Drosophila melanogaster: one gene and its partner. The protein of the gene in region 1 interacts with the protein of each later gene in a pairwise test. Each region holds a gene or a part of one and is shown on either strand. Other genes may lie near its edges.

Region 1 (4,854 bases):
TTCAGCAGCAAAATAGTTGGACAAAACAGGCGAAAAGTCGGTTGGTATGGGAATGCAAAATGCTCGGCATCTCCTAGTGGCTAACAAAATCCACTGCCAAACTAATTTGTGGCCAAAACTATGTGAGAGGCGAGCAGGAATGAAGCATGTGCCAAAATAATACAATAGAACCAACTGAAACTTACTTGGGCTTAGTTGAAAAGAAAACTTTCGCTAGCCAAGAAATTAAAGTGAAGTAGGAACTAGACTTCTGGACAATTTACGAGCTCCCATGGGATCGCCAACCGTTTTGGTAACCATGTATATAGCACATATATAGTATGTGCGCGTCGAGTCAGTTTGGCAATATAAATGACGATAAATTAATTATCGGCCGATCAAGTCATTGTCGCCATTAATTATGGGCCCACGATGCACGGCCCAACGGCCTTTTAATAGTTTTTCACACGCCCACGGGACTCAGGACCTTCGGCAATTAGGATGTGAGGTAGATGGATGTGAGGTAGATGGAGATGAGGAGATGAAATGAAATATGGCGTGAATGGGCCGAGGTTTTATGACAATGTTTGCTGCCTGAATAGCGCGGCAGCATCGTCTGGGCCATGAATTTAATGCGCTGCAACAGTTAATGATTTTATTGGCACTCCAGTCGCAACTTGGCCACATCTTTGGGCAGAGACCGGGAATCGGGGACAGCGGATTGGTGTTAGAATCCTCGTAAACAGTCGGGCTGGAATTTATGACTTGGTCTCATGAATATAATCAATGTCAAGAGCGACGCCAAGTGTCGTCTGGGGATCGCACTTGCCGCGCTCTCGAATCCATTCCCCGCAAGAAATCTGAGTGCCCTGACCAGACGCAGACGAATCCGGATGAGCCGTAAACGAAGACGGGCAAATCGCTCGCCTGGCTTAAATGGCATTTCAATTTGGCACTTCCGTTTCCGCAACATCCCACCCCCATTGCTTTCTATTGGCTTTCTATTCTTTGTCCGTAATGTCCTTGCCAACATTTCAATTGGTTCAACACTGGCTGACTGGGGTCACTTCTGCAGGTCTTGCTACGGATAATCCTTAAACATTTCAGCGTTAGAACTTCGAACACTTCGATCCGTTTACCAATAACATTTTACATTTCACTCGAGCAATTTAACTGCTGTTTTCGGGTTCAAAAACTAATTCAACAGCGGTTCTGGGTGCGCGCGTTCAACCAATGCGTTTGAAAGTCCCAATGTAACTGAAACGGCGTGGGCCAAACACAAATAACACGCTACGCAGATGTAAGCTCACCGGAAGGACTTTAAAGGACGAGCGTTCGGAGCTTTTATTTAAATCGAAAAGTAACTGACGGCAGTGGGATGTGACAAAAGTTCGTTGCTATGCAACGAAGGTCAGCCCAGTGTGGCAACGATTGCTTCATAAATTTCAATGAGTCTGGCAGCCCTGTTTTTATCTAATTCAAATTTGTAAATATCGTTTTTCTATCAATGGTCAATGCCTTCAATATTTGAACAAATCAAATTTTCTCTAGAACTGCTTGTTAAAAATTGTTGACATTCTGCAAAACTTTAACAGTAATTACTAAAAATATGGTGTGTCAAAGTGATCGATGTTTCACAAAAGGTATGTAATATCGATAGTATCGAGTAAACATTTTAGTGTGTTCCATCTCTAATCATAGTTACGCTTGCGCATTGTAGACATAATTTTAATTACCGATTTACACACAATTAATTGCTACAAATATGCCTGATAAAGTTACAACGATGTTATTAACCGCGTGAATATGAGGTAGCACCCAAAGAAGAGTTAGTTATCAATTAATTAGAGGCCTAGAAAAGTGTAACAAAATACGCCTGGCCATTGGTGCGCATGTGTGTGTGCCATTGATTACATAGTTGGCATAGGCGACGCACGGGTGCGAGCGAGAGGGGGCATCATCCAAAAAGGGGCGCAACAGAAACCGCATTCCATTTCCAGAAATCCAGGTTGCAGCTTCCATCCATGAGAAAGGTGCGTACAAATGTCCAGATGTGGGTTAAGATTGGCCAGTACTCCTCATCATTCGTTTTCTCCACACAGTAAGCGCCATGCACCACCATCATCCGCCTTTGCCCATAACCGGAGCAAGTGGCTCCACAGCCGTGGGAACGGGAGCAGCTGCAGCGGAGGATGCATCACCTGCTGCGAATAGTGGGCCCGCCCCCATAAGCACCTCAACCACGCCTTCGGGATCCAACAGCCAGCAGCATCAGCGACGTCGCAAGAAGCGAGCCAACTACAACTACAATGGCATCCGCACCGTGGAAGTGCGACGTGGTTACAATGGCTTCGGTTTCACCATTTCCGGGCAGCAACCATGTCGGCTGTCTTGCATCATCAGCAGCTCACCTGCCGAGCAAGCTGGCCTGCGTTCCGGTGACTTCCTCATATCGGTCAACGGTCTAAATGTCTCCAAGTTGCCACACGAAACAGTGGTGCAGCTCATTGGCAACTCCTTTGGCAGTATTCGCATGCAGATCGCCGAGAATTATTATTCCGACAGCTCGGATGAGGAGAACGCCCATGCCACGCTGAGGGGTCAATTGTTGGCAGCCAGTTTGAGGCACAAGCCCAGGTTTCTACACCACAAAGCCAAACTGCACAGATTGCGCAACTCGCCACAAAAGAAGCTAAACCCACCAGAGGCAGTGGAACCGCACAAATCAAAGTCATCACCCGATCACCCTACATTAAAACCCGTTCTGGAGGATCCGCCTCTGACAGCCAATCTATCCAAAGCAGCGGATGTGGCCAATGTAAGTGCCATGGTGCGAGCTGTGGGCAGTGCTGCACTGGAGTGCCGTGTTATTGTTGGCTATCTGGGAACCATCGAGATGCCCAAGCAGATCTCGCATAGTTCCAAGCTGCAGACAGTTCGATCTTGCATTCGAAAACTGAGACAGGAGAAGCGACAGCCCACCATTGTGCTGATGTGCATCACGCCGGACAGCTTGAGCCTGCAGAGTTCCAGCGGCGGAGTGCTGGCCACCTACTCCTCGGCCAGGCTGAACTTCGTGAGCTCTTCGTCGGAGAGCGAGAATCGATTCTTTGGTCTGGTCACTAGCGCCGTGCACAACACACAGATCGAGGAGGAGTACGAGCCGAGCGCTGGCAGCGCAGCAGCTGCTGGTCACATCAGTATCTCGCACAGCTGCCATGTCTTCGTCATCGACACCAAGCTGATCGAACATGCACAGCATTTGCAGCGGGCCCACGAGTTCCGCCTGCAGTGCACCCGGGATCCGATCTCGAATTTGTGTCTCGAGTTCCCTAACAACTCGGAATATGTGGTGAATCTCGTGCGCAGCATGTATACCATGCGGATTCTCCCACCGGCAAGTCGGAGTCATCAGGCAGACTATGAGGCGGGTGCAGGAGCCGCCGCAGCTGGAGGAGCAGTAGCAGCTGCCCACTCGCCGCAGCCATCGAACCACAGCGAGATCTCCACCACCACGTCCAATTCGGATTCGGGCATTGGCTTCAACAACGATTGTACGAATATTTCGGATCGCATTCTGGTTGTGGACTTCCTAGCTGCAGGAGCGGGAGCAGCGGCGGCGGCACATGCAGGACCACCAACTTATCCAGCTCCTGCTCGTCCACTGGGCATAGTGGGAATACCGGATAATCGACTGACTGTGCGGGCCATGCCCGATCATTCCGCCCTGCTAAGATCGCCGCCAGCGAGCTCTTCGCTTCGTCGACCCAATCTCCTGGCCAGCTTCAATCTGATCCAAAGTCCCGCCACGAATCTCACATCCACCCGCTCCTGTGATGATGTCCTTAATCTTTTTGTCGACGATTCACCGCGCACTTTGGCTGCCGTGGCCTCTATGGATGACATTTCGCTGCACTCGGCTGCTCCATCGCTCGATGAGGGCCACACGTTTGCCCATCCAGCGTGTGTGCCCCGCAAGATGCGCAGATCGTTGGCTCTGGAGACGCCAACAACGCCACACAAGCTGAGTGCCCAGGTATTTGGTCAACCTGGCTCGCGTCATTCGCTGGGCTTCGAAGCCATCGACAGTGTGCAGTCGTCGGTCAGTGGTGCATGTATGGATCAGACCATGGACACGTGGGCCAGCCTGCAGAATCTGCACAAATCGCACAAGGATCGGACCAGCATGTCCGCTTCCTCGTCCTCCCACTGCCTTTTAGAAGCTACGAACAGTGAACCTGATTTGGGGGTAAGTGGAGCATATCCTTTTGTTTATCCTACATGTATCATAAGTTTTTGAAATGATTGGGAATACCTATAATATAATCATAAGTGCATTTTATATCAAATCTAACCCATACAACCCTCGGCTTATGTGAACCGCTCCTGTGCGCGGGCAGAAATCTGTTTACCTGGACGCCGCTCCAAGTTACCTGCGTTCTCGGAGCTTATCGCCCCACACTGCTCCTCCTGCTCTCTGGGCCCACAGATAAGGGGCTCTTTCTCTCTCTCTAGTGGTCTGGTGGGCCATATATCGGCATTCCTTTGTCCGCTTACCCGGAGTTTTGGTAGTCACAGTTGGGCTTTGGCAATAGGTGGCCACGGTTCCGTTATCTACGATTCGGGTACGGACATCGCCGGATTTTAGTTACTATTTACGTCCAGGCCGTTACACTGCAGCTCCGATCGGTATTATCACGGTTTGGGGATTCGAACGCGTCATGGTTGATAAGGGCGGAAGTCGCTGGCTAAAAATAAAGTGCTCCGAGCCGAATGACGTCATGGGCGTAGGTCACGACTGAAGCCGATCACCAGTGGAGCTCCATCACGAGCGGCTGCCTCCGCCGTCGATTCCTCTGCCTCGAGCTTAATTCA
Region 2 (8,015 bases), on another chromosome or scaffold:
CGCCAGAAATCAACTTGCTTGTATTGTACTATTTTCTCGCAGTGCATGGTATGTGTGGCCCGGCTAACGGTATATCTATTTCAAGGCCCATCCTTGTAATTGCTCCTCCATATCCATCTCTCTCTCTCTCTAGCCGCTGTTTTCCTGGCAGCTTGTTGTTTTTGGTTCTCCTTCCTTATTCATCTTCGTTTTCCCGATGGCGATTGAAGTTTTGGATGAAATGATGCCGACATTCGTCAAATTTGTTGGCATCAGCAAACAGTTTGGGATTCCGATTCCGATTCCGAATCCGACTGCAACAACAACAACAAGAGCAGCAATGTGGCAGCGTGCGCCGCATTTGCAGGCAGTAAGTGCGACAGAGATGGAATGAGAGCGACCACCCACAGTGCAGCATCACTGTATTTCTCTCTCGCTCGCACGCGCAGCGAAAACCGCATAAATCCATATTTCTCTAGCTTGTGCTTTTTACGATAAATTACAGAGGTTGCAGGGTGTTCGGTAGCGCACAAATGATCATTCATTCACAAGACAGCAGATACCCCCGCATGCCCCCTAATTCCTCACCGTCCCTCTCCCCGCCACTCCTACGCCCCTCTGCAAATGCCGCACTTTTCGTGTAAACATGTGTAAATCATGACCCGTTGATGGCCTTTATATTCATGGTAGAGCAAGAGGAGGGGTGGTGGATGTAGGGGGGTGGGGGTGTTTCTTGAGGAGGGGAGGGGGATGGTGGCCACATGTGACGTCCTCCGGCGGCGGCAAAACTTTTGCACTGCGACCCCATCCTCATCCTCATTCTCATTCTCATCTTTATCCGCATCCTCGTCTTCCTGCCTTCGCATCGCTTTGTTTAGATAAATTAGCTGCGGAAAGACCAGCCCCCCCCCCCCCCCCCCGTCACGTTCCATACCACAAAATTCACAAAATAGTTTCTTTTAATATCATCGATTTGGAAAAAAACAGAGGAGCTTCTATAAGTGGAATTATGCTAATGAAATTTTGAAATATTAATATTATTGCATTAATAAAGTTATTATTAATTATATGATCATTGCATATGCATGATTCTCTAAAAATAAGTTTAAAAAAAATGAAATTAAATATTACTAAAAATATAAGCTCAATAAAATATAAGCTCAGTTTAAATAAAAAGATTAACAGTGCAAACGAAAGTAATTTCTTTAGTTCTCATATGTTTTGTTATTTAAGAATTGACGTATTTATGTTATTTTTTAAAAAGTTCTGTTCTTCGAATTGACTTTAAATGATTCTAAATATTGTCAGTTTGTTAGAAAGGAGCTCCACTGTACCTGCGTCGCATGCAACTGCAGACATTTGGGATTCAAATCGAGAATGGAATGGAATTGTCCCAAAATAAAGGCAAATATTATTTATGCCAGGGCCCTGAGAACTTTTTCTCCAACGGCCTGCGTGCACATTGCATTGGTGTTGATGAGGGGGGAGTGGCGGGGCATGCATTTCAGAACAACATCATATTTTCGGCTATGTTTATTTACACTTAAAGCGCTATAACAACAAACTGAAATGCAAAGGGCAAGTTGGGCATAATGCATGTATGGCTCACGACTGAACAGCGGAAACAGGATCATATGAGTGGCATTCAAGCATAAAGTTTACAAAGTTGCGATAATTAAAATGCGTGTATATCAATTAAATTAATTTGAAATTTACCGCCCAAAAGTGACGTCACAGTTGCCTACAAGAAGATGCTAGCCAAGTCACACACCCCGCGAGTACTGCCAGACTGCAGCTAGCAGAGTACCACACCCGGCAGCGTTGCCACACAAACGATCGTGTGCAATGCACTAACGCCAGTGAGCAAGCGATCTGTGAACTTCGGCAAACAGTCACACCAATCCGACGCGAAGTGAATCATATTGCGCACAGCAAAATCAGCGGATAAGCAAATTAAAGCGACAAAAGAATATTAAATCGGCTCTGCCGCTGCAGCAAGAAGCGTGAAAACAGCAATGCAATCGGGCTAATCTCCAAAAAAAACCCAAAAACGTTTCAAGCCAGTGTGTGTGCGTGTGTTTGTGTGTGTGTGCTTGCGTGCGCTGCGCATGTGTGGTGTGTTTGTGTGAAAAGGAAGAGAGGTGGAAACGCACACAAAAAACGAAAAGAAAAAAAGTGTACAGCCGACGACGCGCAGACGCATCTCGAAATTGTTGGAAAAATCGCGTGTGAGAAGAGTGCGCGAAGTGAGAAAGGAGCAACAAATCGCTAAAGACATATTTCGAAGATGGGTTGTGCCGTGAGTACAGCACGCGATAAGGAGGCCATCGAGCGGTCGAAGAACATCGATCGCGCCCTGCGGGCGGAGGGCGAGCGGGCCGCCTCGGAGGTGAAACTGCTGCTGCTGGGTGCGTTCGCCTTCCATTTCACCTTTTCACCTCTCTAGCATTATTCCGGTATTTCCCCCCTTTGCGAATTCTTTGCTGAAATTCGCGTTGTGACCTCATTTTTTTTTCCATTCGCTCGCTTTGCTTGGGCGGGGTGGGTATCCGCTGGGTGCCGTTGCTTTGCGCTTTCGGCTGTGGTGAGTTGGGGCAAGGATTTTTGCCGGCTTTTCCAGTGCGAAAGGGTCTGGAAAAGGCTGGAAGGCATGGGATGAAACAATACAGTAGAGTTACAGTATAACGAATTAGTAAGACTAAAATTAGAAAAATGTAATTTATTTGTTTTTAAGATCACTCGTTATTATAAGACCATGTTATTCTAGCTAACAGTTTAACATAAAAGTCTAAAGTCCCCAACTATCCCATATTTCGACTATAAATATGCATGGAATGGAGTAAGTAGACTCCATGCAGCTCTGTTTATCTGGGAAAACCAATGTTTATGTGGCTGCTTGGGGCTAAACAAATCCGTCTGTTCGTAGATCGTGCATTATGCAATGTCTGTGTCCAATAATTCGTTGGCGATAAGGGAATTGAACGTAAATTGAAACCAAATGTCGGTTTGACTGTGCGGATACACTCGATTCTAGATTCTCGGTACTCAGTGCTCGTTTCTCATCTGCTGGCACGCACTTTTCAGATCTTTTGGATCGATGCAACAAGTGGATCGAATCGGATCCCATTGCCGCAATGGAAACATGTTTGTTGATAGCGCAGCGGTTTCCACTTTGCAGGAAAAACCATTCAAGCGACGAGGCGCCATCGTATCGCATATACAAACATACATGCATACATACATACATACATATATGATGTATGTATGGTTTTTGGTGACCCGACCTCTGCGGCAAATGCAGTGAAACTGAATGCCTCGCTGCGTTGCAACCTTCTGCAATTAAATTTCCACTCGCCGATTTATATGCACGGCATATGGGAACGATGATATATTTCACCGTCTGCGTGTGTACTTTTCATTTCATTGCCATTCATTTGCGAAAAACAATGCCGTGGAAGTTTTCCTCCAGCGCGGCTGATTGGCCAATGAATCGGGCCAAGATGACTAAGGCAACGAGTGGTAGGCTGGAAAGTACAGCAAAGACTGGCTATGCAACCTACACCTTTATTAAGTGAACTGATATATAGGGTTTACTGTACTAAATTAATTCATAATGTCAAATGTTATCATTTCAAAAGGATTTTTCTAAAAAAAAAAATGATGCACATTAGTAAATGATTTTTTTGGAACCTAGAACATAGTGTAGTTTTCATTTACACTGTAAAACATTTATCGAGCTTATCAGCAGCCACCGCACCTTGCACTATATTTGTTTGTGAGTAACCACTGTATTTGCAGGCTTAAAGATAATAAGGAAAACTGTTTGCCTCAATGAAAAACCTCGTAAACCGGTTTGGAAAATGCCCGCTAAAAGGTGCAGGAAAATTCTACCATTTTCATCCCCATTAAAAGATATCCCCTATTATCATTCAGTATCCCAGCTGTTTTCGTCCAAACCCCCGGTTGACCAGTGTAAATGCTTCTGGTTTACATAGCCAAGAAAACAGCTTGCACCAGTTGCATTTTGAAATTTAGCCCAACATTTTACACTTGATTCAATTGTTTGCACCTTGTGGGGCGTGTGTTCTGTAATTTCTGGATCATGATGAAAACCGATCTCTGATCTCCGATCTCCGAGCTGCTGCAGCTTTCCTCCGACTTCCAGCTGAGTAATTGGCTGTTTTTGTTGCTGCTTCGTTGTTTGTTCGCTGACATTTCAAGTGGGGTGAACGATATTAGCGCAAATAAATGGGCCCGCCATCAAATGCAACTGTCGCGGCTACACGGAAAGAAAAAGAAGAATGTACTAGTTTGCTAAAAAAAATATCTTTAAAAAATATAGTTTTCAAATTATGCAGTAAAGACATTGCTTATAATTTAGTATAAATATATATATTATTCATTGAATTTATTGGTAATTTCTACCAGTGTACAGCGACTACTTACTTGAATTGGAATCGGAATTGGCAGCCCCCAACGCTGCGCTTATTGAGTAGATTTAATAAAGCTGCTCAGCTGACACTCAATTTATATTACACTCTGCTGCCTCTCCCCTTTTCCTTACCCCCCCCCCTTTCCGCAAGCCTTTCAATTGAAAAGCACAACTTTTTCAACCGTTTTTCAACCAAACATATTGTGCTTAAGGGCAAAGATAGTGAATTACTGCATTATTTTGATGATATTTGCAAGGAAAGAGCAGCAAACCGAAGAGAGAAAACGAATTCCAATGGGGGGGGCATGAGTAAGAACTCGGATATCTGTAAAAAAAAAAAAAAAAAAAAAAATATGAAAAAAATGGGAAGAAAATAATATATAAACAAAATAGTGTCATGCTGCTGGCGCACCAATATCAAAATCGGCACTCAGACTGTCAACACACAGCAACTTAATAATCTACAATTATTTAAGAACTCGCTTACCAACACATTTAAACTGAAAGTATCATTGGGCTTATCAAAATTATCGCCAAGCGAGCGACCTTATACATATGTACGTCAATATACTATATGTGGTTAAATAATTGATGTACATATGTATGTACATCACATATAGGAAATTTCATGATAATCGAGAGATCTGCGTGAAAGTCACTACTAGGTGGGGGGCTTCCGTTTTGGGGCCGCATTTCATCTGATTTAATTGTTTACTTTTTCGGTGGGTCCGCTCAATTTCACACTCCCCGCTGATTAACACATTTCCCACTTCGATAACTGAGGCCAGGCGCCATTTAACTTGATTACTCATGGCGCAAACACTTTCTTACGATTCTCCTCCTCTTGCTGTCTACAGCTATTGTTCTTTCTTCTCCCCTCTTTTTTAAATCATCGCATGGCGTAGCCTTAGTCACCCTGTTTCCAATGAATATTCTAATTTCGATAAGTAATTATCTAACGAATTGGTTGGTGCAGTAAAAACTGCATGTCTTCCTTAAATTTCCTATCTAGCTAAATAGTGATTTTTTAATCATTTATGACAAATTGAACAAATATTTGAATGTTGTTTACAATTTCAAATTCTAATAAATATAATAAAAAGTTTTTTTAGCAACTTCTAACAACTATAAAATATATCAATAGAAGCTAGAATTCCTGCATTCCCCGCCGATTCTTTTTTCGCCGATATTCACTGTTTAATGATGTTAATTATAATACCGTTTGGTTGTGGCCATCGCGATGATAATGAGCTTGTAAACGCGGCTTTGTGCGTATCGCCGTTGTTCTGAGCCCGTCTCGCTCCAGCCCTATTGTTGGCCTCTCGCTCGCACCCGCAGTCGGCCGGGCGCGTGTTATGGCACAGCTAACGGTGCATTGATAAATGAAGGCCCAGCCACACCAACACACACGCACACACTCTTTCGCATTTTGTTAGTAGTGTTATTATTAAATTGACCTTTTTCCAGCCGCTCATTTGTGGATTGCTTTGTTCGCTACTTTTTTCCACACGGTGGCAAGTTTGAACATCGCCTTATGTCCATATTCGTATTCAAATCTGTCAATTTCATCATTATGCGGCGACCGTTGTTTGCCCATTATCAGCATTCAGCAGGCGTCTCTTTCGCTCCAACACTTTTTGGTGGCAAAATTAGTTAGCATTGTTCGGAATTGGTTAAAATTGAAGTCTTAACAATAACTCAAAAAAATTTATAAAACAAATTTAATGTAATATATATTGACAGTGAATGTAACAGTGGCCATTTAGTGTAATATATATTAACAGTAGGTGTAACAGTGGCCAGCACATTACAATTAGAGTGGACCCTATTCTAACACATTATGGTACCTAAAACTATAGGCTGAATTTCTTAATCTTCATAAATGTACGTAACATATGTATTAAACTTACCAATCTTCATTGAATGAGCACCATCCGCCCCAAGGGAACTTCAACCATGGCTGATTGATATACGTACGAATAGTAAAAACAATTAAAGTTTCAGTGCAAGTATCGAAGCCCTGAAAGTTGAGAAAAGTGAAAGTAAAGTCGCAGTTTTGGCTTTGGCAATTACCTAATCATCCGGTGGCTGGGAATGGACCCAACTACCAACTGCAGCAAAAAGTCGGCTTAATGCGCCATTGTTGCAATGCCCCAACATCGTGTATATATGTTTATATATAGCTATAGATATTCGAAATTACTTGGACCGGCAGATTTGCCAATTTTTGTATTTGCCCATTTGCTCTGCGATTTCAACTTCTTTAGTTTTCAGCGAAAAGGGAAACTGGCGAGCACGTAATGCGATTATGTTTCATATTTTTTTTTTTATCATTCGACGCAGCAGATAATATACATAGTACTACATATATAATAAACTGCCCAGACGAGCCCGTGTGTTTGTTGTTTATCAACGCTGACGGGTCAGGTCTCATTTAACAATTGAAGGCACTCGGCGAATAAAATTATGCCCAGTTAATTTTCTCCGCAATTTCCAACGCCTTTGATAACTAATGGGTGGGTGGTTCAACGAACTCCAGGGCTCGGCCATGCAAGTTAATAAATTATAATAAATTACAGAGTAGTACGCTTAGAAAATGCATATATCTATTTGGATTATCTTTAGCATGATGATGTGCATATAACTTGATCTGTTATCACAATATTATTGACCCTTATTTGGTGTTCATTTGATTCGTATTGAAATCCGACATGCTATATTAAATGACCATATACACGATGTTCATTCATTTCTCAACTAGACCAGCGCAATTAAGCGTGACCTCTTGAGTCGCGCAATTGAGCAACTTTTCTCGATCGTCTCATTCATAAATTCCACTTCCGTTCCCCTTGGCAAACTTAAAAGCCCCTTCCCGAAACCGAACTCATCGATTCATTCATTCAGTTTTACGCCCTGAACTTGGTGCATACAAATATTGAGCTCACACTTCCTTGGAATGATTCTTTATAAACTTTGATAGTACACCTTAACTAATAAACTCTGTTGAATTTCTTTTGTAGGAGCCGGAGAGTCGGGCAAGTCAACGATTGTGAAACAGATGAAGATCATCCATGACACGGGCTACTCGCAGGAGGAATGCGAGGAGTATCGTCGCGTCGTCTTCAGCAACACGGTGCAGAGTCTAATGGTGATCATCCGCGCAATGGGACGCCTGAAGATCGAGTTTGCCGATCCGAGCCGAACGGACATTGCCCGCCAGTTCTTCACACACGCCTCTGCCGCCGACGAGGGCATCCTGCTGCCCGAGATCGTGCTCCTGATGAAGAAACTCTGGGCAGACGGTGGCGTACAGCAGAGCTTCGCCCGATCGCGCGAATATCAGTTGAATGACTCGGCGGGATACTATCTAAATTCGCTGGATAGGATCGCGCAACCGAACTACATACCCACGCAGCAGGATGTGCTACGCACGCGGGTGAAGACCACTGGCATCATCGAGACACACTTCTCCTGCAAGCAGCTGCACTTCAAGTGAGTTGTCATTAATTGCCCACTTCCGGTTGATTCGATTCTAATGGTTATGTTTTTTTTTCGCCACAGACTTTTCGATGTGGGTGGCCAGCGATCGGAGCGCAAAAAGTGG

Evidence for each region.
Region 2: the proteins of loco (region 1) and Galphai interact in a two-hybrid assay, tested with the Drosophila melanogaster proteins (2 studies listed by BioGRID).

Annotation. Positions count from the first base shown.
Region 1 is NT_033777.3:22,636,175-22,641,028, reverse strand, and holds the start of loco (locomotion defects), read left to right. Parts: upstream 1-1,641; 5' UTR 1,642-2,012; intron 2,013-2,081; 5' UTR 2,082-2,089; coding exon 2,090-4,228; intron 4,229-4,572; exon of another isoform or gene 4,573-4,854. UniProt on the Drosophila melanogaster protein: Acts as a regulator of G protein signaling (RGS).
Region 2 is NT_037436.4:6,973,890-6,981,904, reverse strand, and holds the start of Galphai (G protein alpha subunit i), read left to right. Parts: upstream 1-1,860; 5' UTR 1,861-2,266; coding exon 2,267-2,387; intron 2,388-2,682; exon of another isoform or gene 2,683-4,258; intron 4,259-4,425; exon of another isoform or gene 4,426-4,736; intron 4,737-4,898; exon of another isoform or gene 4,899-5,583; intron 5,584-7,431; coding exon 7,432-7,903; intron 7,904-7,972; coding exon 7,973-8,015. UniProt on the Drosophila melanogaster protein: Guanine nucleotide-binding proteins (G proteins) are involved as modulators or transducers in various transmembrane signaling systems.